Rattus norvegicus: one gene and its partners. The protein of the gene in region 4 binds, or shares a complex with, the protein of the main gene of each other region. Links are inferred from orthologs where the notes say so. Each region holds a gene or a part of one and is shown on either strand. Other genes may lie near its edges. The genes, in order: Rictor, Zfyve28, Eif4ebp1 and Rptor.

Region 1 (6,767 bases), on a different chromosome or scaffold from region 4:
CATGTCTGAGGTGGGGAGATGGAGTACAAAGGCCATCACAGCAGTAGCAGGGCTGCTGGCTGGCTTGTGAACAGAGCGGAGGAAAATCAAAGGCACCACTCACCAGAGTGACTACAGATCGAACTCAGCTGGTTACTGGGCTGGAAACCCAGGATTTCAATGCAGACACAGTAAAGGCAATTGTCATCTGTGTGTTCCTGCAGTCCAGTGTCTTCTGTGCTCTCTAAGAACAGAGATGCGTCCGAGTGGACAGAGTTCATTATCTCTGTGAGACTCATCTGCTGGCGCAGCAAGTGGAAAGAGTTCTTCACGAGACTACCGGTTCCAGAGGGAAGGCCTGCATGTTCAAGTAAGAACACAGTCCGATAAAGACACTGTGGTATCTCTCATGTCTTAAAATAGTACTGTTTAAAGATAAATAGTTAGAACTCTCTGTGACCCAACATCTAATTTTTATTAGGAAGGAAAGAGAATACTGTATTTTAAATTATGAAAATTAGAACAGCACATATTCCTTTATTGTTTCAATATAAGGTTTTTTAAATACAACTGAAAAACAGATTATCATAGTATTTCAATTAACTCCCATAATTGCTTAAACAAAATCAGTACTTCTAAGAAGTGTAAGTTAAATGAGATTATAAAGCATTGAGTTTATGCTTCACATGCACACATTCCCTACAATTCATAGCACAGAATAAATGTGTGACTAATAAGCAAATCCTCATCGTCTTTCTTTCTCAACAGCTGTGTCTCTGACCTATAAAAAGCCAGTTTGAACATTTCTCTTACACTTTAAAAAAAATGAAAGAACTGGATTTTATCAACTTAAGAGGCTGGGATCTTCACTGCAAAAACATTTTCTTAACAAATGTGCTTTACTGTTATCTGTATACGGGATATGCTCTACTAGACTCAGTGAGAGGAAGGTCTAGCCTGGCAGACACCTGAAGCGCCAGAGCAGGAGGTAGGCGCAGGGGGTGGGGATGGGAGATGATACCTGGGGAAGCCCCCAGGTCTCCTCCTTCAGAGAAGGGATGGGGAATGGTTGTAGGAGGGGGTCACCGGGAGGGGGCCAATAAAGTGTATAAGTAAAGTGGGTAAGTAAGAAATAAAATAAAAAAATTTTTTAAATATGCTTTAATTTTTAGTTGAATAAATTATTTTGTCTTAGTGTTTAAATAAACCCCTGAGTTTAGTGTACCTAATTTTTAGTGTTATCTCACTAAAAAGAGACTTTCATTTTAAAGTTAAACGTCTCAGAGAACAGGGAGCACATTACCTCCTCCGTCATGGGAGAACGTTCTTGCACCTCGGTCATCTGGTGGAGGCACATGCTTTGACTGAAAATAAGGAATATCCTTTACCTGCAATGCACACAAATCATGTCAGTTTCACCATACAAAGAAATTCACCTTATGAATATTAAGAAATTAAGAACTAAAGGAAATGTTACAGAAATAGAATTACTGTAGCATACAAATCTAGAAGGCAAAGCTTACTAAAGAAGATTAAAATTACCAAAATATACCCAAATACTAGTCTCCTCTTTAACCATGTTCCTGGTGAACTGAGTGGGTACTGTTTATGTAAGGCTGGGGATGGTCTCAGTGGGTTCAGGTGCTTGCTGTACATGTATGATAATCCCCACCATGCACATAAGATGCTGGATGTGTTCACATGGCTATCTGCACGTCAGACATGGCCATGAAGCATGGAGACAGTGACGTACGCTTGCTGCCTGCCAGCCTGGGTTCAGATTCTAGGAGCAATCCCGTGTCAAGGGAGAAAGGCAAAGTACTAAGCAGGATGACTTACAACTTCCTCTGTCTACTACAGGCATATGGACCTACACACACACACGCACCCACACTTCTACTGTACACACAAAGAAAAACAGAGTGAAGAAATGCTACAACAGTCATCTAAGAAAATATGTATTCTTCAGAACTATCACATGCAACTAGGAACTGTGTATATCTCATGGGAGCAGGGCTACTGCATATGGATACCACAAGGGGCTAACGCCAGTCAAACAAAGGAAACTGGCTAGAGACTGCAGCCTCTGAAGAGGAGCACACAAGAGCAGACTATACAGAGCAGCTCAGAGTATACCCTCTATAAACTACAATTCCTAATAAGGAGCTACAGAACATTTAAAAACAAAACACGAAGCCATCTCATAGAAAACAGAAGCACTCTGAATACCTGGAATATGTCATTGATGTCTACTGGAAGAGCAAGTCCAATGTAGTCATCAGAACCTCCATATGTAGCACTGGATACCATAGACCTAACTGAGGAGGATCGCTGCAGGGTATTTTGATTAATAGGACTTAATAAATCTTCTTTATCTAATGATGCATAACTTAAAGCTTTCATAAACCTGTAACATGACAAAAACACCTTGCATTAGCGTCTTTATTTGCACTGGTAAGTAGGTTAAAAACAGCAAGAACTCCCAATTTGTACTACCATCCGAGCAGGTAGTCAACCAGCAGGCAGCAGCACCTCCGTCTCCTGTGAGTACAGAAGCACTTTAACATTAGCTGCTAGGTATCAGAGACCAGGTCGGCAGTACTGTCAATGTCGCCCAAAGAACAACTCTTTCGTCCCCAGGGAAAGATGAGAAGGTAGGCAAAGAGAATAATGTTAATACTCAGAGAAAAGGAAACTAACCTACCGCTAAGTGCAGCTCCAAGTCTGCCTTTGCACGCAGCAGAGATGCTAGACTTGCTAGACTGTACAGCTAAAGAGATATCCACTAACACCAAGCAATGCAGTTCTGAAGAGTAGGATTAGTTATCAATCTTGTGTGCTATAATGCTATCATTATCACATGAGCTTTCTGTAACACACAAGGTGCACACAGGAGTAAAATCCTATCATTTGTAAATATTACAAGGACATCTCACTGAACACTAGTCTTTTTCTGGACACTCTTCACAAGATTCTACAGCCATGGCATATGGACGTCTCTGTAAGTGTAATCTGTCATACTCATTACTACATGCAAGACACTGTGCACTCTGTGTGTGCCTTGTTAAATACAGGAAACGCTATTCGATGTCTCACATTACTAACTGGAAAACCAAGTCTTAAAAAAAATACAAATGTAAATCAAAGGATTATTTCACACAAAACACACAAAAGAAATATGTGTTTGAAATAGTAGCCATTAAGATTATAGAAGCAAAAACAATTTCTAATTTCCAAAAAAACCGCTTCTTATCTTTATGAATTTTGTGAAAGGTAAAGTTTTTCAAGGTTAGATCTCTGATTCTACAAAGCTCTTCAGGGACTACTGGAATTGGGAGAATTAAGGGAATATTTTACTTTCCAATTCTATTTTAAGGAACCATAGCTCCATCTTGAAATGCATTGATTGTTGGGTTTGTATAGACATCCCTCAGGGAGAAAAAAAGTTTCTGCTTAGAAAGCAGCATCTTACTTAAAAGTTTAAAACCAATGGTCTAGCCTCGTCTCTAGTAGCCAAGCTTACAGAGGCCCAGACAACTACTGCACCAGCTCTGCTGCTCAGCTGTGGCCCTCTACCTATGTCTCACGTCTGTGTCCTCCATTCATGAAGACTGCAGAGCCACAGACTTCCAGCTACAACAACCATTATTGTAATCTTTTTTTAAAGAGGGGACAAAATTTCCTATCTGCTAACAGGACCTTCTTTTTTAAAAATGTTACTAACACTCAGAAATGAGTGACCATTACATAAGTTAACTCCCAATTCTGATAGTGAGACTATCCTGTAAATGAGGGCTTATTTTCTCTTTCCCACGGTGAAGTAACTACTTGACACCTAGCAGTCTGCTTAAAAAAGTATAAATCATAAGTGGATATAATTCAACAAGCACAGGTTCGGAACTTTTTACAACAATCAAATTTCAAAGTGTATCATTGTAAAAAAACAAACCTAAACTATACTTGATACACCCTAAATTTGGATTATTTAATATAAAATTAGAATCTCTCCCTTAGTCTTGAGGGCCCTGGAATTCATTTAGTGTTTATTAGGTTCCTATTTAATTATGTGTACTTAAAACAAATTAAAATAATTTAACTGAGGCTTTCAGTTATTTTAAAAAAATAGTAAGAGGTCACCTTTTGGAGCTTTAAATTGACCTACCTGAAAAGGTTGTTTGCTATTGTAGGTCTTAAGCTCCTGATTCCCCCGACATGCTTCTTTTTAAAATCGATCCTTGCAGAAGCGAGAAATAAATAAAAACGCTTGTGACTTCTGTAACCTTGCAAACACGCTTATTTTCAGGGCCTAATGGAGTTTATTTCCCCCCTCGCGGCTGCAAGAATCCATTTCAAAATCCTATCAGGTAACGAGGAGCTCACAGCCTACATTGGCAACTGGGTCAGTTCTGAGACTTAGTCTCTGTGGTGCTCAAGCTGACTCATGTCTTACATTTCCATCTGTTACAGTCAAACCATTCTGACTCGTCTTTCAGTGTTTACTGCTCACCTGCTTGGCGTCAGTCTGGACTCAAAGCTGTTGGCCTTCATGGTGATGGTGTCGGTAAAGAGCACATCTTTTGCTGGTGATGCCAAAGCTTCAGAGTGAGACAAGGATGGGTGCATTCTTTGCTGCTGTAATCTTTTCAATGTAGCATAGCCAAAGGCATCTCTAGAACTTGTGTAGCTAAAGTTGCAATCTGCTAGGCTTTTTATTGTTGCAATGGAGGGCGCTTTAAGGGACTGTGCTCTTCTAGGAAGGGTATGAGAAGAACCTGGTGGCACCAGGGACACTGAGTTCGATTTGGAGAGAGACAGATGGTTAGCCTGTGGTGTCAGATAGTGGCTCGTCTTAACAGTTTTAGTACTTACCACAGTACTCAGACTTCCACAGTCTGTGTCCATAGTTGTAGAGTCTACAGCAACTGTCTCTCGGGAGGGACTCGAACTCATGGAACTGATGCCACTCGTTGTAGTGTCTGTGTTAAAGCTTTGGCTGCGGATCTTCATATGTGAGCCTGCTGAGCTTTCTACAACCAGCCTTTCTCGGCTTGTGTTTTCTCTGTGATTCTCTGGACCAAAACTCTTGGGGAATTTTAAGTCATTATCTCCAATACTTGGAGTGCTGCCAGTGTCTTCAAGGTGCTTATTCCCAACAAAGGAAGTTTCTAGCTGCAATGTTTTCTGTGCTGGGGAGATGTTCGTGAAGTCATCGCTGTGATTAAAGTCAACACTGGGCTCTGTAAATGTTCTGATTCGCCGGTTGCTTGTCTTATTTTCAGATGACAGTTTCCCTCCTTTCGGATCACTGCTACTTCGGTGTTTTTTAGTAGGCAAAGTAAGTGAATTTAAGATACGATTTTTTACAAGTTTGCTAGAGGCAAAAAAGGGGAATGAATTTTTATCCTTTATGGGTCCAGGTCGGTCATAAAATGCTGGCTCGGCGTCTTCATTGATGTCAAGGAAAAATGTACTGGTAGAGCTGCTGCCAAACCGGTCATCCTCCAGTATGAACATGCCTGTAATTGAACCGTCAGCTCAAAGAATGCAAACACGAAGAATTTGGCACAATGCTAAGTGCTACCGTATCTTTTTAACCAGTCATGGGGAAGGGGATTAATTAATAATACTGCCTCCCTGAAGCTCAAAGTTAGGATACCAATTTTAAAAAAAAATAGAAGATTGTATTTGTATCATGGTGAGGATCTATGAAGAAAAACTACAAGGCTCATGCTGGTACAGAGTATATGAAGTTTCTACTGATTTTTCAAAACATTCAAGATAAAGTGAAAGGACTCTGGAGCATGGCCGCTCATTCTGTTAAGTGAAGGAAGACCAGTGGCAAGGCTTCTTCTTTACATTACAGTGGCAGGAGATACCACCTTAGAAGAAGTGGATTCCCTAAACTTGACATATACTGCAGCCCTCCACATCTGAGTTATGCACATATGGGTTCAACTAGAGACCAAAAATACGCATAGAAAGGTGCTTATTATAAACCTGTACCTTTCTTGATATCTGTAGCCTAGACAGGCTCTGTGATCTCTAGCACGAGCACCCTGAGGCCTGTGTGACCAGGCCTAGTTTGTTATCTAGTTTGTTGTTGCTGCTGCTGTTTGAGACAGGATTTCTCTGTGACAGCTCTGGCTGTCCTGGAACCTGCTCTGTAAACTAGGCTGGCATGTAAAACATGAAGATACACCTGCCTCTGCCCCCCACCCACCCCAATTGCTGGGATTAAAGTGTGTGCTACCTTGCTTACCTGTGTTATGATTGTAAAGCAAAGAAATATGCCTTCACTTCTGTAACTCATAGCACCAACACAGACTGAATCCATCACCTGCTTCTCACATCATTTCTCTCTGACATTCTATCTTTTAGCAATGCGCCTATTTCCTTTTTTTCTCTCTAGTTCTGAGACATAAACCCAGAACTTTACAGGAAAGGGTCAGGGGCTTTATAACTCAGTGACATCAGTGGCTTCCCACACTATTTTAACATCTAATGAGTAGTATTACTTTAATTTTTAGATTAATTAGTATATTTTCAATAATTAATAAGTATAATTAATCAGTATGGTGTGCATGCAGACCTAAACTCTCTCCTTTCCTTTCTTTTTTCGCTGGTACTGGTGAAACAAATTTAAACCTAACTATAAGAAAAGAAATAAAAAGTCTATGCAAGAAAAAAACCAAAACCTAAATAAGATGTCTGGGAGTAACCAAATAATGTATTTGTTTTAGAAGGGAAACAAAGGCATAACAAGACATGTGACTCTCTCAGCAAATATA
Region 2 (7,389 bases), on a different chromosome or scaffold from region 4:
CAGACACACAGACACACATGCTCACACAACAAACACACATACACACCCCACACACACGTACACACATACATATATACACACATATAATATATACATATTAATTAATTAAAAGGGCTGGCAAGATGGCTCAATGTGAAAGGCGCTTGCCACTAAGCCTGAAGACCTGAATTCTATCTACATATGTCACATGGAGAAAGTTGTCCTTCGACTTCCATGTATGAACGGTGGCAAGCACAGACCCCTGCACACTAAATAAATAAATAAATATTTTTTTAAAAAACTATTGTTAATAGAAAACACACCCAGCAAGTCTCACTGGCTTCCCTTGGTGAGGGCCATCTCATCTGTAATCTGACCCTAAGTGTTTGCAAACAGCTTCTCCACATCACGAAGTGGCAGTGAAGGACTTCAAGAAAACTCCACTGGAAAGGAGCGGCCTGCGGGGCAATAGCCACTCCCCTGGCAGTGGTTTGGAGCTGAGACAAGAAGGCTCTCTGTGGGGTGCATGCCTAAGTGCAGAAACTAGATACCACGCCCACCGCTCCCATACCCCTGACAAGCAGCACTGCCTGCCAATCAGTTCTTCCATGTACAACAATAGGCTCGCCCATGACAGCCAAGAATTCCAGCACAGGCAGGGCCTCAGCCTAGAGCCCTTATCCTCTTAGGACAACTTCCTCCCTCTTGGTAACCGGCAATATCATCCCAGTCAGTCAGAGAAAGCTACAGCCAAGCAAAAGTCAAGCTTGGACCTTTGTTTCAGAGACAGTCACCAACTGCCTCACCTTTCTGAAGCATACATTCTTTCTGAGGAAGACTTTACCTGCACTCTCTAAGCAACATGGACAGCTCAGCCTCTGAGCCTTAGCCACAGCCTTTTTCTCACAGACACCATGAGAAAACCCAAACCCAGGGTCACAGGAGTCTGAGAGTGCTTCAGCAAGGAAAAAGAAAGCTGTTCAAAGGCTGACTTTGAGAAAATCAATGAGGATATAACGCTTTGAGACATCATTTTAACATTATTATATTTGTCACTGGGTATGTTTTCCCTCCAACTCAAATAGATTTTAGTGCTTTGGAAACCAAAGCTTTTGTCACTGAGGAAATAATCTAAGCCTTGCTTTTGGTGAACTGTAGGAATAACAACATTTTTCAAAATATTTCTACCACAAGTTATGAACACGGTCTGTATGTGTTCAGTTTTAAACCAAAGCAGGGGGTTGGGGATTTGGCTCAGTGGTAAAGCGCTTGCCTAGGAAGCGCAAGGTCCTGGGTTCGGTCCCCAGCCCCAAATGTAAACCAAAGCAGTAGTTACGTTTAAATGTTGTTTAAGCAGTGTATCTAAATAGGAAGTGAAAGGGGATCATGTCTGAAGCAATCTCCCCCAGACATCCCACACTGCTAACATTTAACTCTGCCAGGCCCAGAATCATCTCAGGACCGACTCTCAACTCACTTGTGTCAAAACGTATTCAAATCAGTAGGAAGGAGAAACATAATCGTTCATAATCGGAGGCCAAAAAAAAAAATCTAAACTTTGGTTTGAAAAAAACTACTAGGAAGACATTAACACAGTCCAAATGCTTCAAACAATCAAGACACTGACGTTCAAGGACAGATCTCAAAGAAGAGATGCCTCACGATTAGACTGGCCTCAGGGCACCAGCTCCGGGGGAAAGTCATAGCCAGAGCAAGATCTCAGACAGAGATGTGGCTCAAGTCCAGAGGTCAAGGACAGTATCAGACAGAGAAATGACAATGAGGAACAGAACAGCTGTGAGGGCTGGGGGGGGGGGCAATCTAACCTATCTCTTCCCTTCTAAAAAGTACACGGCTTTGGGCTGAATCACCCAGAGTTACTAACTCAGCGCTCCACTTGCCATGGTCTGCACCTAGAAAGCACAACTTCAAAGGAAGGCCACTGTGAATTAGGTATAGGCGATAACCAACCGGTACATAGGCACTGCTCCTTCCTTTCCAACAGTGAGGAGGGTCACAGAACACACCTTTCCCACCGTGGCTCTGCTGGAAATGGCACCTGGAGGCCCGAGCGCTCCACAAGCGTTCTGAGAGACAGGGATGTAGCTTGGCATGCTAACAGTGCCACCTGCTCCCCTGACATTTGTTATTGAAAAAGTAAATCCCACCCCTGCAGCGACTTTTTCAGCACTGAAACTTGTCTTGTTGTTGTTGTTTGGTTTGGTTTTGCTTGCGCTAAAAACTCACTCAGTGGGGAAAACCACTCCTTGTACAGATAAGCAGGGCAGGAGCGGCTGCAGCCGCTAGCAGACCCACTAATCAACCGCAGGCAGGACTGAGCACACTGAAGGGATTGCAGCAAAGAGAGGGCCAGACGCCTAGGGCGTGGCTAAAAGCAAGAAAGACTCAAACCACACCCATTGCAAGGGTCGCCCCCACCCATTGCAAGGGTCGCCCCCTCCCACCCTCACCATATTTGCCGGCTACCAGGAAGACAGGAGCGCGAAGCGCTGCTGCACCAGCGAACAAGAATCCAGAATACCTTCTGGTCAGTCCAAGGCTGATCAAGGGCGGCCCCATGCTTTGTAAGCCTTCACCCCAACACTCTCTAACCCGAGGAAAAACTTCCCGACCTTGGCAGACAAAAAAACATAAGAGTTTCAGGTCTCTGAACGTCCCCCAAGCCTCGAATGCCAGTCTTCCAAACACTAGCTGTCTCTCCAGAACGCTCGCTCCACCTCAGAGACCATTCACAGAGTCTGGGACAGAAGAAACCCTAAACCAAGAAATGTGGCTAGTCACGGCGGGAGAAGGGTCAGTGGCTTGGGTGGGCCAATGAGAAGGAGGCTGCACTGCTCCCGCCCTTAGTCTTTGCAGTGACCCCACCCAGGTCGTGACCCTCTGAAGACCTCCAGCGTTGGCGTCCCCCAGACTCCGCCGACCCCCAACAGGCAGCTTTGGGCGCTGCAGATGTGTCCTGGATCTTCGCTGGATCCTAGCATTGCGTCGCCCACCCCGGAGCAGAGCGCACCGGGTCCGGCTCCCAGACGACAGCCCCAGGCAGGCAGGCAGCGGGACGCAGCGCCCGCAGTGCGACTGGTGCGGCTGCCGAGGCTCAGGGCGCGCCGCCCGGACCCGAACTAGCTAGTGAATCGCACCTCCGGCCCACAGAAGCTGCAGGCTCCAGGAGCCTCATCTGGAGACTGGACAGAGGACTGGTCGGAGATCCAAAAGGGTGCAGGCGGCTACCGGACGAGGATAGGGATGCAAACTGAACCAAGATCCAATTAACCCGGTTTGGGATAGAGGACCGGATCGCGGCGCGAGGGACCTCAAAGATAAGGGAAGAAAGGGTCTGACCAAAGCCTAGGGATTGGAGAAAGGGGAGTGAGAAGGTCGGTTCACAAGTGCGAAGGGAAGCTGGGAGACCCACTATTCTAGGCCAGAATAATTGTGGTGCGAAAAGATGAAGGAGCATCTGCGGTGAGGCAAGAGGGAACCAAGAGAAGTAGGGGCTCTGAGCACGCAGTCTGGGACCGCTGGGTGCGGGCTGGTGCCCATCTAGTACCCAGACGAGAAGAAACAGGCCAGTACACCCAGGCCCGAAAGAAAGAGCCCTGTCTGGTATTGGAAAAGAGCGGTCAATGCATGCCAGGTTCATGGTCTGTCCAAGTCGCGGAATGCAGGGACAGGGTATCGCAGGAACCGGAGAGAGGGATTCATACAGGGCCAGGGAAACGAGGTCTGTCTAATCGAGGAGGGACCTGCAGGGTAAGGGACCTGGAGGGGGAAAAGCGCGACGCCGGGACATGGTCCGCAGCTGGAGCCGCTCACCTTGGGTTTATACAGCCACTTTCGGAATCTGTTCATCATCGCCGCGCCGGCTCGGGCCACGCTCCGGGCGGCCCTCGCCCTCTGCAGCGCTGCGCCCCGGTCCGGCTGCGGCGCGGAGCGGACACGCAGGCAGGGCCGGGACCTGCCTGAGCAAGCGGATCCTGAGCGCTGCACAGAGCGCCGAGCAGCTGGCTGCAGGTGCGCGGGGCAGGTGCGCGGCCGGAAGGATGCTCAGCGAGCGGCGCGCGGCCGACCCAAACCCGCGAGCGGGCGGGCGCGCGGAAAGGCGCGGGCACAGGGTGCGCGATGCTTCACGGCTTGCGAGCACTCGGCGCCTCCGCTGGTCACGACCGCACATGCGCCGGAGGCGCCGCACGCCCCCGGCCCGCAGCAAGTGGTGGATGGGGCGAGCCGGGTGAGGCCGCCAATCCCCGCCCAGCGCCAAGCCGCACCCCACCCGAGACGCGCACCAAGGGAGGGCGGCTCAGGACTACAAGTCCCAGCGCCCACCGCGGGCAGGGCCTGAGCGGCGTTGCTAGGTGACGGCGCCTAAACGATGCTTAGGCGATCTGCGGGTGCAGGAGCTGGCCAGTGAGCGCTCCCGCCCGCGGTGCCTGGAGAGACGACGCGGGGGCAGGTGGAGGCCTAAGGAGGCCAAGAGGCCCGCAGGTAGGCGAGCAGGTTAAGGTGAGGGACCGCCATAGGGAGCCAGGCGCAGCCCATCCTCACTTCTCGCTAACTCGTTTTCTCCAGTTCTTAAATCTTTGCTGATTTTCTGGCCTTAGCAGGCTTCCTTTGCGCTCTTCTTCCCACGTCCTAAAATAAAATGCGCTTTCCACCACCTCCGATTTATATCCCCCCTCCCCCCCTCCTACTTTTTTTTTTTTTTTTTTGGTTCTTTTTTTCGGAGCTGGGGACCGAACCCAGCCCCCTCCTACTTTTAACAACAGGTGACCCAGATAATACAGTGTGTGCACCCTCTAGCAGCTCCAGCATCTTCCCTTAGCCTTTCAGCCCTGGACCTGCTCAGCTTTGTAGCTCACTTCTTACTCCTTGTAAGCTGCTCTCCATCCATTTCTGTGTAGTTCCAGGCAGCCACGCGGTTTCACAAACAAACATTTTTCGCTCCAACTTGGATTCAGACCTGTTTGCCTGTCCCTCACTATTTGTACAACTAACAGATCACCTTAGAGTCAACATGTCCACAACAGTATGCTCTCCCATCATAAAAACTGCTTCTGAGGCTGGGAAGATAACTCAGTCAGTAAAGTGTCTGCCCTGTTAGAAGAAGGAGGCTCAGCATGCCAGAACTCACAGGAAAAAAGAAAAAAAAAAAAAAAAAAAGCTAGGCATGGGACTGGAGATGGCGCTGTGATTGAGAATGCTGGGTGCTCTTGGCAAGACTCCAGGTTCACTTCCTAGCAACCTCCATGACTGCTCACAACTTTCTGTTACTCCATTTCCAAATAACCAAACCCCTTTTCTGGACTTCATAGGCCCTGCATGTGTGTGATACATGCAGCTGCCCTGGTTCTAGCTGTCACCTCCTAAAGCCATTAGCCCACTGGAAAAGAGAAGAAAGGAATGTCCTACACTTCAGGCTAACGCTCCCAAAGTGTATCCTCTAGTATTTCTCAGAGATGGAAGGACTTGTACACGTAGCCATAGCCAGCTTCCGAGGAGGCTGAGAAATGTCACCAACCAGTTGGGTAGCAATAGGTCCAAGCGAGAGTCAGGGTTTGTTATTCAGGAGGAAAGAGAAAGCTGCAAGGAGTGGCTTCATAGCTTGTTGTAGAAAGTTTTAATTCCATCCTGAGGTTTCTAAGCAGCCTTTAACCATTTAGTTCCCAGATAAAAGAAACACACAACCTTTATATCTACAGTAAGCCTTAAACAGCACAAGAGCTGGGCAGATACCTACCTTATGTGCAATTAGAATCTACTTTCCTATTGATACCCACGAACTATTACTTACTATGTGTCATCTGGGCTGCTCTTACCTCCAATTGGCCAGCCCTCAGGGACACATTTTTAGGGCTCACCTAACCCATGGTGGCTTCTCCTCCTTCCTCCTGCACCTTCTTCTTCCTCCTCCTCCTCCTCTGACCCCAAGCCCAGGAAACCTAAACCTCACCTATGACTCTTCTGCCCAGCTATTGACTGTTGACATCTTTCTTTACCAATCAGAAATAATGTGGGGGGCGGGGTCACTTAGGTCTGTGTGCAGACTCCACAACTCCCAACTCCCAACCCCCCCCCACCGCACTTAGCATTATGATACACAGTAAAAGACAAAACCTCGACGGGGTAAGACAAAACACTTAGCAGAGCAGCCATAGTTCCGGGGAAAGAAGACATTTTCAAACATACGTGAGAGATGGCGTGGCTGAGACTGTAGTAGTGGGTTGTATCTGATAGAAATGAACCCTCCTTGCTTGCTTCAGCCTGCCTTCCAGGGTACCTAAAGTGCCAGACCATTGAGCCCTTACTGGAGAAGGGAGTTAAAGAGCCACATATAGAGGAAATCGATCAAGAACCAGGTCTCAATGCTCACCTGTAAACTAAAAGCTGAGGCACTTGGATGTGCCTCAGTGTTGGACCAGAACCCAGTGCATGAGTGGGTTCTGTCTCTCCCTCGCAAAGCAAGCACACAGACAAATACATTCTTTTAAGTAAAGCTGAGTCTAGGTGTGACTATGTGGGCATGTGATCCCAGCACTAAGGAAGCAGAGGCAGGAGGATGGAGAGTTTGAGGCCATCCTCTACTATATATCAAGACCACCTTCCCCAAAACAACAATAAACAAGACAAAAATAAAACCAAAAATAAGTTGGAAATAAGTAAAGTTGAGGGACTCGAAGCATGCCTCATAGTTGGCCGAGCCTGTGCCTGTTCTGTAGCCATAGACATGATAGCTTTGATCAAGCTTTAGGTGAGTTTCTGAGGGGGTTCAGGGTCTACCCACCCTCAGGGTGCACCGGCTCTTTGCCACAGGTGGGGGTGCAGATTCCTACAAGGCAACCTTCACCCCACAGTGAGCAGAGGGGTCAGGCTGGATAGTTAGAAGCAGACTAGGCCCCCAGGAGCTCCCTCCCACCTTCAGTTTGGTTCTTCCATTCATTCTTTTTGAATCTTTCTACCGAGGTCCATTCTGGTCTGGAGAGGGCTTGAATTGATTTCTTCAATCCTCCTTGACTCAGATCAGCCTAGGGCGCTTGACCCACCCTTTCTGCTGAGGGATTCTGGCTCCACAGCAGGGAAGCAAGAAGCAGTCTTTGCTCCCTGGCACCCTGGGCAACCCATCCACATAAATTCAGCCCAAGACCTTGGCCTCCATATTAGAAACTTCCTGGAAAAAAAAGGAAAATCTAATATTTCCATCAGAGTATCTAATGATGGCTAGTGTGTCAACAGGATCTAGACCACCTGAAAGACCTCGGGACATGCCCGCCTGGGTGGGAGAGTGATTAACTGTGTGGAAAGTCTCACCTTTCTTAACTGTGGGCAGGACCACTCCAGGAGTCGGGGATCCTACTAGGGATCCTGGGCTGTATATGATGACTCCCGAGAAGGGGA
Region 3 (7,336 bases), on a different chromosome or scaffold from region 4:
ATGACTTTCACTGTTATGGTTGGGGAGAATCAAACTCACCTTGAACTAATGAATACCTGTTGCTTTGGGAGGATTTTGAAAAGAAAAAGGCGACCTCTGAAGGTCACTAAAACCTAGAGGCTCGCCTCCTTAGACCACCATGTAGCACGGAGACAAGCTCTGTTGGATTATCAGACATCTTCTGCGGCCCTGGGGTCTATGTACAAAAACACAAAGCAAAATCACTGTGAGTGGGGCTGGAGAGATGGCTCAGATGTTAAGAGCACTGGCTGCGGGGTTGGGGATTTAGCTCAGTAGTAGAGCGCTTGCCTAGGAAGCGCAAGACCCTGGGTTCGGTCCCCAGGTCCCCAGCTCCGAAAAAAAGAACCAAAAAAAAAAAAAAAAAAAAAAAGCACTGGCTGCTCACCCAGAGGTCCTGAGTTCAATTCCCAGCATCCACATGGTGGCTCACAACTGTCTGTAATGGGATCCAATGCTCTCTTCGAGTGTGTCTGAAGACAGCTTCAGTGTACACATACACATAAAATAAATAAATCTTTTTTTTTTTGTTCCTGTGGAAGCAAGAAGAGGCAACCCCTCCAGCTAGAATCATAGTGGGCAGAGGTCCAGGGGCATCCTGTAGGTGCTAAAGGACAGACCTTCCCGAGAGCAGCACGCACTTTTTGACCCGAGCCATCTCTTCCGGCCCATGCTTGTACCAAATCTCAGCTGTATCTTCACCTGAATCCCAACCCTCCATGTCAGACTACCTTCCTAGTCAGGATGCAGGGCATGCCTTAAAAACCAAGAGGCCTCAAAGGGAGTTTAGAGTGCTCTACCCAACTCCTTCCAATTCAGTACTTATGTTCCAGAACCTAATGTATATTGTTTTGAACACTTTAAAAGGAAGCTTGGGTGTGTGAGAGAGAGATGGGGACCATTCTATCTCCTTGCTGGTTCGATATCCAAGCTCTCTCATTTGGCCCATAATAATATCCTCAGCCGTAACTTCTCCCCTCTATGTGACTAAGACCTCAGGGAGAGAAGGACATCAAGGACATCAAGTCACCAGCAGCAGCACCCAGCCCGCTCCCCTCTTCACAGCACTGCCAGAGCTAAACACTTGGCAGCCACCTCAAGGTTGGCTTCCTAGACAGAGACTTTTTTTCTCTGATAGGGTCTGGCTATGAAGGTCTGGCTGACCTGGAACTTACTATGCACACTGTAAACCAGGCTAGCTTCAACCTCACAAAGATCTTCCTGTCTTTGCCCCACGACATTCACCTTCACCACTAAACAAAGCAACGTCATTAACACCTCCCACCCTACCTGCTTGTCTGATGAACCTCACCCAGGTACTATTAGGTACGGCCACCCAAACAACTTCTGTAGGTTTCGGGGTCAAACATCCATCCTGGGCGCTCACTAGAAGATCCTGTTTATGACGTTGCTGGCAATCTTAGAGACTCCGAGCTTCAAATAGTCTTGTCTTCAAACACTCCCTCCAGAAATGTCTTAGGTTACCGAAGGGTTAATGACCACCGACCAGAGTCTCAGGAATGGGTCCCAGGAATGGATATTCAGGCCACCTGCTGTGTCCTTGCCACCAGAGGCAGCTGCTTCAAAGCCATCCTCAGCTGCAGTGGCTTCCTGCAGTATTTCTTCATGAGGTGCTTACAGCCCCTACAGGTCAAGCCACACGCCAAGGTGTGTAGAAAGCCTAAGTTCAAGAAACGTCAGCCTGACTTTATGCCTGGATGGAATCTACTTTGCCAGACTCATAAAGATCTGAAAGAGGGGGGAATCATATATATGTATATACACATGCATACACACACGCACACATACATACATACAAACATACACACATATACACACATGCACACACATACATACATATATACATACATTCATGGGTTTTGTTGCTGCTGGTCCCTTTCACCTGGAATTCCTGAGTTCTCAAAATGGAATGTGGCCGCTCAAACATATAATGGTTAGACAAATGACTCAGCCCAGCTTCAAGCTCACGGGCTTTATACACCTATAGATCCCGGAGGACATAGTAAATGTGTCCCAGTCGGCCCCTGATATATGTACGAAAATTCAAAAGCTAGATGGATTTTCAGGGAAGAATAGGGGAGAGCAAACAGAAATAGTCCAAAAGGTATTCAACAGCCAAGACAATAAAGAAAACCCGAATGGCTAGATGTGGCGGTGCACACGGTAACTCCCAGCACTCAGGGGGCTAAGGCCGCTGGATCTCTGTGTAGCCCTGGCTGTCCTGTAACAGGTCTCTGTAGACCTCTGCCCTCCGATTCTGTATTTAATCGGGGCCCTAAGTGATGAGAAACACTCCGGAGCAAATGGGTCAAGCTTCTGCAGGTTGGCAGAGGTGACCTGGAATGAATGGCCTTTGGGACAAGATCCCACTCCTAAACTAAAGAATAGGCTTGCTGACTTCGGCAGAAACAAGCAAGACTTTCCTCAGTTGTGGACCGTGCAACACAAACACACACACAATAACAACCACAAACAAACAAACAGAACTGACAAGGGCCAGCTGCTTTGGGGACCTGATAGCTTTCTCTCAGTTAAGAAGCAAATGCTTCTTCCTCTTCAAAGACAATAGGAACTGCCCGGTTGGCCAATGAGAACACTTCCCAGACCGCAGTGAGAAGTGGCTCAGAGTTCATTACAAACAGTACTGGCTGTTGCTACTCAGCTAACCTGTCCATCCAGAAAGAGAGAAAAAAGTTTCCCATCTCCGTGCCTTATTTAAAACAAAACAAAACAACCCCACCCAGATTCACACCTCACCTAAAAGGACTATACTGTCTGTGGAACTTTGTGCCCCACACAAAGTTCTGTGAAAAGACAAAAGGTGCAACAGCTTGGACTAAAAAGAGGCCAGGAGGAATGTAGGAGGCCAGAAGCCTGCAGAGAACTTTTCCTTGGCCATTTCTAATGAGAGGGAGAACGCTCTCTCCCCCTACCTGCTTGCTACTTCTTGCTGTGTCTAGGGAACGGCAATGCGTACAGACACGTGCTCAAGCAGCGAGGCCTTGGGACTGTGTTCTGAAGATCACAGCACTCACTGGACACTGATCTCCAAGATCCCTTCATCAGTAGCTTGGTTCTGGGATCTGGCTGTGCTCCCTGGTGTAGGGACAGCTGCCCGAGAAAATAGGCATGTGGCCTGGCTGCGCCGGCAGTGGCCCAAGGTTCACCACCGCGCCAGGGTTTCTCTTGTTTTTGAGTTGTAAGAGGAGTAGTTGGGGGAGGAGACCGGGGGAGGGGAGAAGCGCAAAAGTGGGTGGGAGCAGCGCGAGGATTGGGAGGGAAGTAGGGAGCCACGAGGATTTCATCACGCAAACGGGCGGGTAGGTTTCATCAGCGCCTATACTGGGGCTGGGAATGCCTGGTTCCCGGAGGCCAGCCCCCACCCGCGCCAACTCAGCTTCCTCTTCCTCATCCTCCGCCACTTGGGCGAATTCAGCGCTGCGCCCTGCCCCCAGGCCGGAGGAACGTGTTGTTCTGCACTACACCAGATGCGGCCCCTGCAGGGACCTCTCTCTCTCTCTCTCTCCTAACAGGCTCGATGCCACAGGTGGCCAAGACGTTCTTCTGAGGCAGGGAGCACCTCCAGCACCCAGCCTCCATTAATGAGCGAGTGTCCAACGCAAAAATGTGGGTTGCTCCCCGAAAAGGTTAAAAAGTGTGCAGGCGTCATTTATGCCAAGAGAGATCAACTAAACTTAATCTCCAGGCCACCCACTTTCCCTGATCTTGTCCTACCCTAGAACTACCCTGACACCCACAGAGGCAGCCCTTAAGCACATGGTGGTCCTGGCAGAGTGCCTATCTGTATGCTCAGGGCACTCTGCGGTGTCTCCCAGGAAAATTCTAAGGTAGGCAGTTTGCAGCCTGGTCTCCTGACCACGCTCCACCACACCCAGAAGGCGGGCAACCGAGACGGCGACCCTTCTGCTTTCCCGACGCCCCTTGTCCTTTCTGTCCAGCTACCGAACCCCCGTATGGCGCCCTCCCCGTCGCAAGTGAGACTCCGGATCCCGGCGTAGCCTCCAGCCCCCGAGGTTGCCCGGGACCCCGGCCCGCGCCTACCTCCCGGGGTGGTGCTGAAGAGCGTGCCGCCGGGGGTGGTGCTGTAGTCCCCGGGCGGGAGCTGCACGCCGTCGCCGAGGGCTACGCGGCGAGTGGGGATAGCCCGGCTGGGAGTCTGGCTGCAACTGCTGCCCGCCGACATGTCTCCTGCACGCCGCCCACGACCCTCCAGCAACCCCGCGGCACCTCGGCCCAGCCCTTCTCGTGCCCGTCCCGCCCCTTCCGCCTGGGCTCCACGCCCCCAGAGACTTGCGGTCCGCCCGGCCCCACCCAGCTCCAGCCCGCTGCCTGCAAGTGGTTCCCAGCTGCTGACCTAGGCAGGAACCCCAAAGCTGGCCCCTTGTGTTCCCCGGTTCCTCCCCAAGACTCTGGGAAGAACTATGTAGAGGCGACGGTGGCGGAGTTCTCCGATTTAGTGGCAGCGTCTCAGCGTACCAGACCGCCTGTTTTCTATATTAGGATGTGACCTCTCGATCCCGGGCCGTTCCAAAGAGAAGAAAGGGTGGGCTGATCCTTCGCCCTTCTTAACGTTTCTTCAGCTTTCCCCGGTACAGTAGGAGTCAGAGCAGTAGCTGCACAACGCACATTCCTGGACTTGAAAGGAGTGGTGGAAGAGTAAGAGGAAACTAGCCAGCCAGCTGGGAACCGAATATAAAACTGATAAGGAATGGGTAGGGACGGTGGGCTGGGAAGGATTAGAGTTGGTCAAAGAACCCAATAGTACCTGGATTGGGTTCTACTCCAGCACTTTGTCTGGTAGTCGCTAGGGAAGGAAAGGAAAATACATGTCCAATCGATTTCGGAGAGTCTGTGGCAGCCTCCAAGTGGTAGGATATGCCTATAATCCCCGCAGTGTGGAAGCTGAAGCCCTAGGAGGATCCCGAGTTGACAGCCAGACTACTTAATGAGACTCCATCTCAACAAAACATAGCATGTAAACAATAACAACCACGAATAGCAGAAAACCCAAGTTCAGAAACGGGCGGGGTTTTGCACAAGCTTTCACAGCTGTTGAATACACATCTGAGGCCAAGGTAGGGCCAGAACCCTGTTGTCATTGTTGTTCAGGCTAGCCTGAGAGAACACAGTAGGCCACCTTCCTCCCTTTGGGAGAAGCGTTTTGAAAGGAGTTTTGCCTTTTGCTTTGTTTGGTTGTTCTAGAGGCCCCAGATTTCCTGGAACTAAGATTTCAGGGAAGGGCCTGCTTACGAAGGCCAACATTCAAGCTCAAAATTCAAGTGCTACACACTTGTCCCAGCAATTACAAGACGGAAGCAGGAGAAGTCTAGCCTGTGCTACATAGCCAAACCCTGACTCTGACAAAAGAGAAAGCTGGAACTGGGCAAGCCAGCTCACATAGTCCTCGTACTGGAGAAACTGAAACAGGATTACCACAAAGTTGAGGCCAGAGTTATGGTGAGTTTGAGTCACAGCCTGAGCCAGACATGTAAGACCTTGTCTTAAACCGTGAAAGAGAGAGAAAAACGGGGCCAGGGGAAGCTTGGAATGCAGCATACTTGGTAGACAGTTTACCTAGTACACACTAAATTCGTGGTTAAATCCCAAACACCAACATAAAAACTGAATGTGGTGGCACTTTGTAAACTTGTAATCCCAGAACTCAGGAAGTAAAGGTTGGGGGATCAGAAGTTCAAGGCCATCCTCAGCTATATATCTATAGGCAACCTGTCTCAATTTTTAAAAGTAGTGGTGTGAAGGGAGTCTTAATAGCTATGAAGGCACTAAAAGACTGGAGATATCTAAGCTTGGAATCTCTTGGTTCAGAAACCCCATAGTCCCTTGTACAAAGATAGAGCTAGTGTGGTGGTTTGAATAAGAATGGCCCCCATACATTTGTATTTTTGGTCATCAGAGAGTGGCACTACTTGAGAAGGATTAGGAGGTGTGGCCTTTATTAGCATTCTGCCTAAGCTCCACCCCACAGTTGCCTGGCAACACCCAGGTATGCCTGACTCACAAAAAAGGAGTCTGCTTGCCCCCTCTTGCTCTCTTGCTCCTCTCTTCCTCTTGCCTTCCTGCCCCACTCTCTTCCCATTCCCCATCCTCCTCTCTCCACATGCTCACGGCCATCCTCTATGTCTCTCTCTCCTCTCTCTCTCTCTCTCTCTCTCTCTCTCTCTCTCTCTCTCTCTCTCTGCCCCTACTACCCTCTTAACTCCCCTCCCCATGCCCTGAATAAACTCTATTCTATACTATACTAGCATGCGGCTAGTCTCTCAGGGAGAAGGGATGCCTTCCCCCTTCTCACAGAGGCACCCCCTTCCCCCACACCTCACCACACATCCACAGAACATATCCCCCCTCTCTTCATCTTTTTATAAACACACCAGCCTTGTTAAAGGAAATGTGTCAATGAGGGTGGGCTTTGAGGTTTCAAAAGTCCAAGCCAGGCCCGATGGCTCTCTCTCTCTCTCTCTTACTGCTGCCTACAGATCCAAATAGGAAAGTCTCATCTACCTCTCCAGCACCATGTCTGCCTGGGTGCCACCATGCTCCCCACCATGGTGATAAAAGATTATCCCCCTAAAACTGTAAGAAGCCTCCATTAAATGTGTTCTTTTATAAGAGTTGCAGTGGTCACGGTGGCTCTTCACAGCAAGAGAACACTGACTAAGACAGCTACCCCTAAGGCACTCAGGTAGACTCGGGTGATTGCCAACAAGCCTACCACCACAGCTAGGAGGGACCTGAGCCTAAGGGTAAGCGCCATTTCCCAGCCTTCCACTAAGTAGCTCTCCTTTAATAAACTACAAGGACCCTGAGCATGGCCATTTTAAGAATTTTCTTACAAATTCTCTGCTCAATTCTGTCTCTCGCACAACCATTTTGCCCAGGGTGATTCCTGCCTCTTTCCGGGCAGGAATTCATTCATATCAAGTCTTCCAATTGAATATAAAAGGATATAGGGGGTTGAGATGGCCAAGCAGATAAAGGTACTTCATGCCAACTCTAACCTGAGTTTCATCCCTGTGAGAGAGCGAGAACAGATTCCCACAAAATGACCTCTTCCCTCTACATGAGCACCATAACGTATTTTTACATGCACCCTATGCACTTGCACAAAACAAATAAGTGTAAAAATTTTAATGGATATAAGAAGCTAGGCCGACATTGGTCCTCCCAGTACTTGGGAGATGGATTCAGGAAGATCAAGAGTTTAAGGCCATCCTGGGCTATGAAACACACTTCAAGTGCAGTCTGAAGCACACGACCC
Region 4 (6,767 bases):
AGAAGTCATGACTGCACAGCCCTTTGGACCACCCACACCCCACCGTTCTCATCTGGCAAGGGCAGCGACTTCTCACGGCTTTATTCTTTATTAACACTCTGCTGCTGTCACTGCTCTGGACACCATTGCAGTCCTGTGTCTTGTCAGTCCTTTTCAACTCTCATTTTGGTAAAATAAATAGAGACAATGAACTCTAGGTCAGCGCTCTCTCGAGCCTTGGTTAGCTTCATGATTGAATTTTCGCATCAGGCTTGTGAAGGCCCAGCCTCTGGGCAAGATGCAAACGCTGGCTCCACTGGGCAGGGAAGCGACCCAGCCCACCAGGGCCCTTCGCTGCTGAACTGAATCACCAGTTGGACAAGGATACCCACCCCCTGGAGCACTCTGCAGAACTGAGAAGGTGGCAAGTCAGGTGGTTCTAGGGCCGTCCTGACGCCACACTGCTGTCTGGCCCAACTGAGGGGATGACTTCCTCTAAGCTCCTCCATGTTGGGAGAGTGCATCTCCAGGGCAGCACCAGCGCCTACCCGTCCTGCTTGCCCTGCTTGGCCTGTAGGGATCCTTCCACAGGGAAGATGCTCTTGGCTAAAACAGGTCCACCAAGCACAGCACAGGGACCCAGCCTCTGCCACAGCTGTCCCAACCTGTGTCCCGGGCTCCTGTGGGCGCTTGTCCTCCTCTGAAAGATCCTGATTCCCAGGGAAAACGTAAAATGCTTTTCAAAACATCATTGTGTTGTGTCCTGTTTGTGTGCAACTGCTCAGCAATGCAGTGTCCCTCACTTGCATGTGCACAGACACGTGTCAGGCACACCAGGACACTGCTGAACTCCTCCACAACACAGACTGCATCATGCAACCTCAGTCACACCAACACAGCTGATGCTGCCCTCGAGCCTCTGGGTCCAGCGTAGTCTCTGAACCTGGTGAGGCCAGCATGCGTGTGCATATGGCCGGCCACAGTGCCCATATATGTGCAGGAGGGGAGACTGTGGGCCTGCACGAATGCACACCCAAGTGTGCACAGGCAGGAAGACCAGGACACCCATGTAAGCATGGATAGGAACGCTGTGTGCCTGCATGTGTGTGTGCCTGTGTGTGGCACAAGCAGGAGACAGGGCTGTGGCCACTGTTACTGGCCTGTGGGAGAGAAGCACTTCAGAATGTGCCTGGCAGAGGTAGGCAGCCGCTGACTACAGATCTGCCTCATCTGCCCAGAACCAGACCCTCTCCTGCACCAGCTCATGTGAGGGAACCAGACTGGACCTCAGAGTTCTAGCTGTGCAGGACGGGGATCCCTTTCCTCATACCACCATGACATAGCCAGTGTGTTGGACTGCCTCAGTGCTCTAGGAGGGCCAGGCTCACACTTCCATACCTTGAGTAGCAGGAGAGGCCTCCCCCCTCTTCTTCCCTCAATTGCTTCCATCTACTTTCCTACTCTGAGGGGCTGGGCCACAGCCCTCAGAAGCCCCAACATAGCTTTTCTCCAGGGTGCTGTCTGTTCTGTGACTAATGCTTTGATCGCATGGAAAAATCAAATGTGTTCCTTTGTAAAACCTCAGAAGGAAACAGGGCAGGAAAGGACCATGCTGTACTGAGGAGGCCCTTGGTGCCTGGGTCCTGGTTCTCGATGGGAAGCCATGTCAAACCCTCCCCTGCTCTGGACCTGCACATTACAGTGAAGACAGAAGGGAGGATGTGCAAGCCCCTCCTCAGCTGGCCACGCCAGGCCAGGAGCCAGGGTTTGCAGGTGGGTGGGAGGTGGGCACTGATCCTGAGCAGTGCAGGCTGGTTCGCTATGTACAGCAGAGGGTGGCTGCAGCCTGGCACGAGTCCGAGGTGCCGCTATCTGACACGCTTCTCCACCGAATATACAGAAATGTAGTAGTCATTGCTTCCGACGGCCAGATGAGGCTGTGTGGAGAGAGCAGAAGCACATGAGCAGGGCCTGTGATGCGGTAGGAGCTGCAGCACTGGGCAGAGCCAGAGGAAGGGGTGCAGGCTGCCTGTGCTCTGTGCTGAGCTCTAGTGGGGGTGAGGATTAACACCTCTGAACTCCACACAGGCACAGAAATGAGGGTCATTAACTGCCAGATTCGAGCAGGAATGATACATCATCCAAATTGCATTACAGGTGATTTGCATACTACCCACAATTCCCTGCAGCTTCCTTTCAGGATTGCCCCCCTGGGGTGGTTCTGGGAATCTGATGCTATGCACCTCAACATGCTACACACAGGTTCCTGTGGAGCCCGCTCTGCAAAATGCTAACCATCCAACAATCCATCTGCGTGATTACATTATGGACACAAGTGTTCAGCGACACTGTCCTACTGCTCCCCACACCAGAGGACACTAGCTGCCTCTCCCTCTGTGTTATCTAGTTTACCTGAGCATTAAGAACTGGGTTTAGGGGGGTTGGGGATTTGGCTCAATGGTAGAGCACTTGCCTAGCAAGCGCAAGGCCCTGGGTTCAGTCCCCAGCTCCAAAAAAAAAGAACTGGGTTTGGTTTCTAGGGGCCGGACAATGTTTTTCTGGATACCCCAAGAATAGTAGATCTCAGTTCTTTATGTTCTTGGAGTCAGGAAGGAGGACTCCAGCTTCCTGGGTTACCCTTCCACCCACCCCCAAAACCCAGGAGTGAAGGCACAGACCCAGTGTGGGTGGAAAGCCAGGCAGCTGATGGCCCCGACTCGCTGGCCCATGAAGCCATCGTAGTATTTGATGTTGTTGATCAGCTCCCCATTGCCGTTGTAGATGGCTGTGAACTGGTTCATGGAGCCACTGTGGTAGGGAGGGAAAGACGGTCAGGATATTAGTTTCTGTTTCCCTGAGGTGCAGGAGAAAGACAGTCCAGGGTGCTGGCTGAGAGTTCCAGCATGTGGGGCACAGGCTAGGCTGTCCATCTGCGTGTCACCCTGAGGCAGGAAGTGACTGCTCATTGGTTACAGCCGGGAAGAACCAGGCCTGTCCCGAGATGCACAGAGGGCAGGTTAAGGCACACAGACTTCTTTTGCTTTTATTTCGGGGTAGTAAAGTTACACCCTCTTCCAAAGCCACTGTGGAGGACAGAGCCAAGGGATGAGCACTCTCAAGGGGACTTTTGCTTAGAAGTAGGGGCTGCATGGAGGCAGGGTACCTACCAGGCGATCAGGTTTGCCTGGGGGTGGATGTCGAGGGCTGTCAGCCCCTTCACAATCTGCATTACATTCACAGACTCAGGCATCCGAGGATCGAAGAATCGCACATCTCCATTGACACTGCGAGAGAGGACCAGGGTGATGCCTGCTGGTGGCATCCTTAGGGATACTACCTGAGCCCCTAGGGGGAGCACCTGACTCTGAAGGATGTGAAACTGGCCATGAAAAGTGTCAATGTCCACTTGCACACGCTGGTAAGGCCAAAGCTATGCAGACTCCCAGGACCCCTCCAAGGGCCAACAGGTGGAGCCCAGATCACCACATCATGCCCACTGGTCTTGGGGTCCCCATCAAGCTGTCCCTCTCAAGCCAGAAAAGACTAGGATTGACTAAAGGGAGCTGCCATGCTCACAAAGCAGGACACACCGGGGTCAGAGAAGGGATTACAAGCAAGGACAGGAACAGTCATCGCAGGCTGCAGCTCATGAGGCAGAGTCCATGAGGTAGAAGAGGGCAGAGGGGCCTGGTGGATGCTCAGCCCCACAGGGGGCCAGATCACCTGGCTTAGGCTTATGGCTTCTGCTTCAGTGTCCATTCCAAGAATTGTGCTTTGCTTTATGCCACAGACAAGGGAGAAGAGCATCTCTCTGAAGAAGTGGTGGGTTTGTGACAGTAAATTATGCTCTGCTGTCTCTTTAACAGGCAAATAAAGATTCGCTGCTCTCAGCACAGTATTTACTGAGCAGCAGGCCTGAATTTATGTGCACAGGCTGGCTGGCGACAAGGTGGCCTGCTGGGGATGTGCCACCCAATGCATTCTGCTTTGCCTCTCCTGCTCGAGGGACACACCTGCCTGTGCATCTCTTCCTTCAGCTCAGCGCCCCCAACACCCCCAGCCCAGCCCCCCAACCCAGCCCAGCCCCCCAACCCAGCCCAGCCCAGCCCCCACTCTTGCTCCACACTCTGACCTTGCTGGCCAGTCACAGAGCAGAGTCAATTACTGCCCTGAAATGCCAACAGTCCCTAGCTATTTAAACACCGAAGACATATTTAAATGGAGGGAAAATAATGTTTTCACAGCAAATTTTACTCCTTACCTCACACTCACGATGTGGCCCTCAGGGTGCTTCTGCAGGTAGGCCTTTACCACCCATGCTGTGTGCTCTCGGTAAGTCATGACCCGGCTAAAGGAGGAAGGTGTAGTCAGGACTGGCCCAGCCCTGTCCCATTGCTCAGGGTAGGGTTAGGAGGAGTGGTGTGAACGGGAGCTGGCAGCCCTGCCCTTGGGCTGAGCCTCAGGAGGACATCCAGCAAGGAGGCACTAGTTAGGCTGTCCTAGGCCACCCCCCTCATCTCTCTAGCCTCTACTTCCCCAGTTCTAGCCTTGAAGTCTTAGTGCCATTTTGGGATGAAGAAGACCTCCTGGTCCTGCATTCAATGGCAGTTTAGTGAGGCTACTGTTTGTATCTCTGTGGGGTCAGCTTAAAGAAGCCAGACAGTGAAAGGTAAGGAGAGGGGAGATGTGACAGTTACCATTCACTGAGTGCCATCCTCCTGTCGTAGACACGGATCGAGCCATCACCCAGGCCAGCTACAATGAGTGAGCGGTGCGAATCACAAGATAAACTTGTCACACAGCTGTCGGCCCCCGTGGGGATGTCCTAAGCCCAAAAAGAGAGCAGTGAGGAGCCTCAAGCTGGCTGAAGTATGTTCTGTGGAGATATCCTCTGCTCTCTCAGGCTGAGAAACTGGTCTCCACCTGCAAGGCTATCACAGGCTGGAGGAACTGGGCCAAGGGTAGTGCAGGGCTCACAGGGCATCAGTCATGCCTGATCTGCGTGAGCGTCTGCCCTGAGCCTGTGCCTGGGTACAGTCTGGAAGGCAACTGTGGGGATGCCTGGCTCTCAGTGCCAATTAAACTTTCCAGCAATCTCTCCCTTTCCTGAAAAGAAAGACGAAGCACATTTTGGCAGGGAGGGAGCCTCGTTAGCTCTCTCCTCAAACCCCTAATTAGGCAGGGAAGCACTAAGGAAAGGCTTCTCTGCTCCCTGTGGTGGCCATAAATACTGCAGAAGGGCAAGGGGTGATGAATGGAAGCAAGAAGGAACTGGAGCTGGAAATGGCCTCAGAGGGAAAAGTGCTTTCTAATCAGATGGGGTGAGCCTGAGAGGAACCCACGGGATGGGGAGGGGGTGTGAATGGGGGAGGTGGTGAAAGAGCCTCACTCCTGCCTTTGCAGCTGACATGATGTCACCCAAGGAGCTCTGTACCTGCAGGAACCCCACACCATCTCCCTGTGGGGACAGGGACCCTGGAAGACAGTGTTTAACTGTTTGGCGGCATTATGGGGCTTGAGGATGCATGGAAGCGTCTAGCCGGTGCTGGTAGACAGGCCTCAAGTCTCACCAGCTTCCGTCACTCCAGCCTGCTCTGCCCCTCTGTTCTGTGAGAGGTCCATGATTTGTCCAGGTCTCCACTTGGGCAGGGCAGGCTGAAGAGTGCTGCGGCCTAGTCTGTGCTCTGTGTCTTTGGGCACCAGGAAGACAGACGTCCCTCAGCTATGTGTGTGTTGTCCTTACAGGACCTGTGATCCTGCCTTGGACCTGAAGGAGGCAACTGGACTCTGGCAAGGAAGCCCAGGTATCTGAGGCAAAACCAACTCTAATCAAAATGGAAGACTTGGAGCTGGACTGGTCTAACACGGTAGAATTATGTCCCCAAACAAACAATCTTGAAAATAAAACGTGGTCTAAGTAAGGGGCCAAATTCCAGCTCATGGGCAGTGAGGAGGTGCTTAGCATACACAGGGCCCTGCCTTCTGCACAGCACCAGGGTAAGGAGAGAGACGCAGATGTCAAACAGTTAACTGTACTCATGTAAGATATTTCACCCTACTGATTCCTGATATTCCCTGATTTGCATGAAGAAAACAATATCTGGAAATAACTTGGGTTAGCATAACCTTAATTACTGCTGTAACTAACTCAGGTCAAAGTGCCATGATCAATGTGTATCCAGGAGTAATTAATCAGCTTTTCACCTGGCAGCGAGATGCCATTGCCTCCCCCACACAGAGAGCGGGATAGCAGTCACTGACTGATGAGGGGTCTGTTTTGTGAGTGTGAAGGCTTAGGCACGGTAAAGAGTGGGGTCTGTGCAGGGGCCTGTAGTGGTTACCTGGACCTTCGTCTCCCGGTCGGTATCCCAGATCCGGACAATGCGCACGTCCCCTGAGCTCATGAGGAGGCCAGTTTCTTGTTCCCAGTCCACCACCATCCCAGCTCCTGGGAAACAGTGGAGTCACCATGTCAAACAATGGCTCAGGCAGGATGGGGCATCCCCCTCACTCATGTAAGGCCAGGTTCCTGCAACAATTCTCCGATGAGCTCTGTGCTCTCCCAGAACCTTATACACTCCACCCATTCATGGCATTGAATCACAGGACAACAGGGTCTTAGAATCTCTGTACACCAAATACATCTTCTCTAACTCTGAGACATAAATAGCAGGTCACCTTTCAGGGGCCTCCAGGCTAAGTCAGAACACCTAGAAGCAGAGGTTCTATATAGGCCATGGGTACCTGGATGCTCTAGCACAGCATACAATGCTGAGTGCCCAGACGGA

Evidence for each region.
Region 1: Rptor (region 4) and Rictor share a complex: the UniProt entries of both Homo sapiens proteins name them as parts of the mechanistic target of rapamycin complex. The link is inferred for Rattus norvegicus from reciprocal best matches to the Homo sapiens genes RPTOR and RICTOR.
Region 2: the proteins of Rptor (region 4) and Zfyve28 are in contact, whole or in part, in a cryo-EM structure (PDB 9F43), measured with the Homo sapiens proteins. The link is inferred for Rattus norvegicus from reciprocal best matches to the Homo sapiens genes RPTOR and ZFYVE28. Residues at the interface, in NP_065812.1 of Homo sapiens: Arg54, Arg305, Arg306, Thr317, Asp321, Phe337, Arg338, Leu341, Ala344, Arg348, Leu437, Gln438, Leu440, Leu441, Ser442, Gln443, Arg446, Pro474, Tyr475, Lys478, Leu479, Gln481, Ser482, Ser483, Ala484; in NP_066023.2 of Homo sapiens: Arg399, Val400, Phe401, Phe402, Met403, Asp404, Asp405, Val406, Glu407.
Region 3: the proteins of Rptor (region 4) and Eif4ebp1 are in contact, whole or in part, in a cryo-EM structure (PDB 6BCX), measured with the Homo sapiens proteins. The link is inferred for Rattus norvegicus from reciprocal best matches to the Homo sapiens genes RPTOR and EIF4EBP1. Residues at the interface, in NP_065812.1 of Homo sapiens: Arg54, Arg305, Thr317, Asp321, Phe337, Arg338, Leu341, Ala344, Arg348, Leu437, Gln438, Leu440, Leu441, Ser442, Gln443, Arg446, Tyr475, Lys478, Leu479, Gln481; in NP_004086.1 of Homo sapiens: Glu111, Ser112, Gln113, Phe114, Glu115, Met116, Asp117, Ile118.

What each region holds. Positions count from the first base shown.
Region 1 is NC_086020.1:57,614,700-57,621,466, reverse strand, and holds part of Rictor (rapamycin-insensitive companion of mTOR), read right to left. Parts: intron 5,496-6,767; coding exon 4,487-5,495; intron 4,214-4,486; coding exon 4,142-4,213; intron 2,387-4,141; coding exon 2,209-2,386; intron 1,368-2,208; coding exon 1,283-1,367; intron 338-1,282; coding exon 104-337; intron 1-103. UniProt on the Homo sapiens protein: Component of the mechanistic target of rapamycin complex 2 (mTORC2), which transduces signals from growth factors to pathways involved in proliferation, cytoskeletal organization, lipogenesis and anabolic output.
Region 2 is NC_086032.1:80,689,635-80,697,023, reverse strand, and holds the start of Zfyve28 (lateral signaling target protein 2 homolog), read right to left. Parts: upstream 4,028-7,389; 5' UTR 3,853-4,027; coding exon 3,814-3,852; intron 1-3,813. UniProt on the Homo sapiens protein: Negative regulator of epidermal growth factor receptor (EGFR) signaling. Acts by promoting EGFR degradation in endosomes when not monoubiquitinated.
Region 3 is NC_086034.1:71,504,551-71,511,886, forward strand, and holds the start of Eif4ebp1 (eukaryotic translation initiation factor 4E-binding protein 1), read right to left. Parts: upstream 4,296-7,336; 5' UTR 4,244-4,295; coding exon 4,102-4,243; intron 1-4,101. UniProt on the Homo sapiens protein: Repressor of translation initiation that regulates EIF4E activity by preventing its assembly into the eIF4F complex: hypophosphorylated form competes with EIF4G1/EIF4G3 and strongly binds to EIF4E, leading to repress translation.
Region 4 is NC_086028.1:105,668,716-105,675,482, reverse strand, and holds the end of Rptor (regulatory-associated protein of mTOR), read right to left. Parts: intron 6,428-6,767; coding exon 6,321-6,427; intron 4,805-6,320; coding exon 4,677-4,804; intron 4,328-4,676; coding exon 4,241-4,327; intron 3,264-4,240; coding exon 3,147-3,263; intron 2,788-3,146; coding exon 2,658-2,787; intron 1,917-2,657; coding exon 1,848-1,916; 3' UTR 70-1,847; downstream 1-69. UniProt on the Homo sapiens protein: Component of the mechanistic target of rapamycin complex 1 (mTORC1), an evolutionarily conserved central nutrient sensor that stimulates anabolic reactions and macromolecule biosynthesis to promote cellular biomass generation and growth.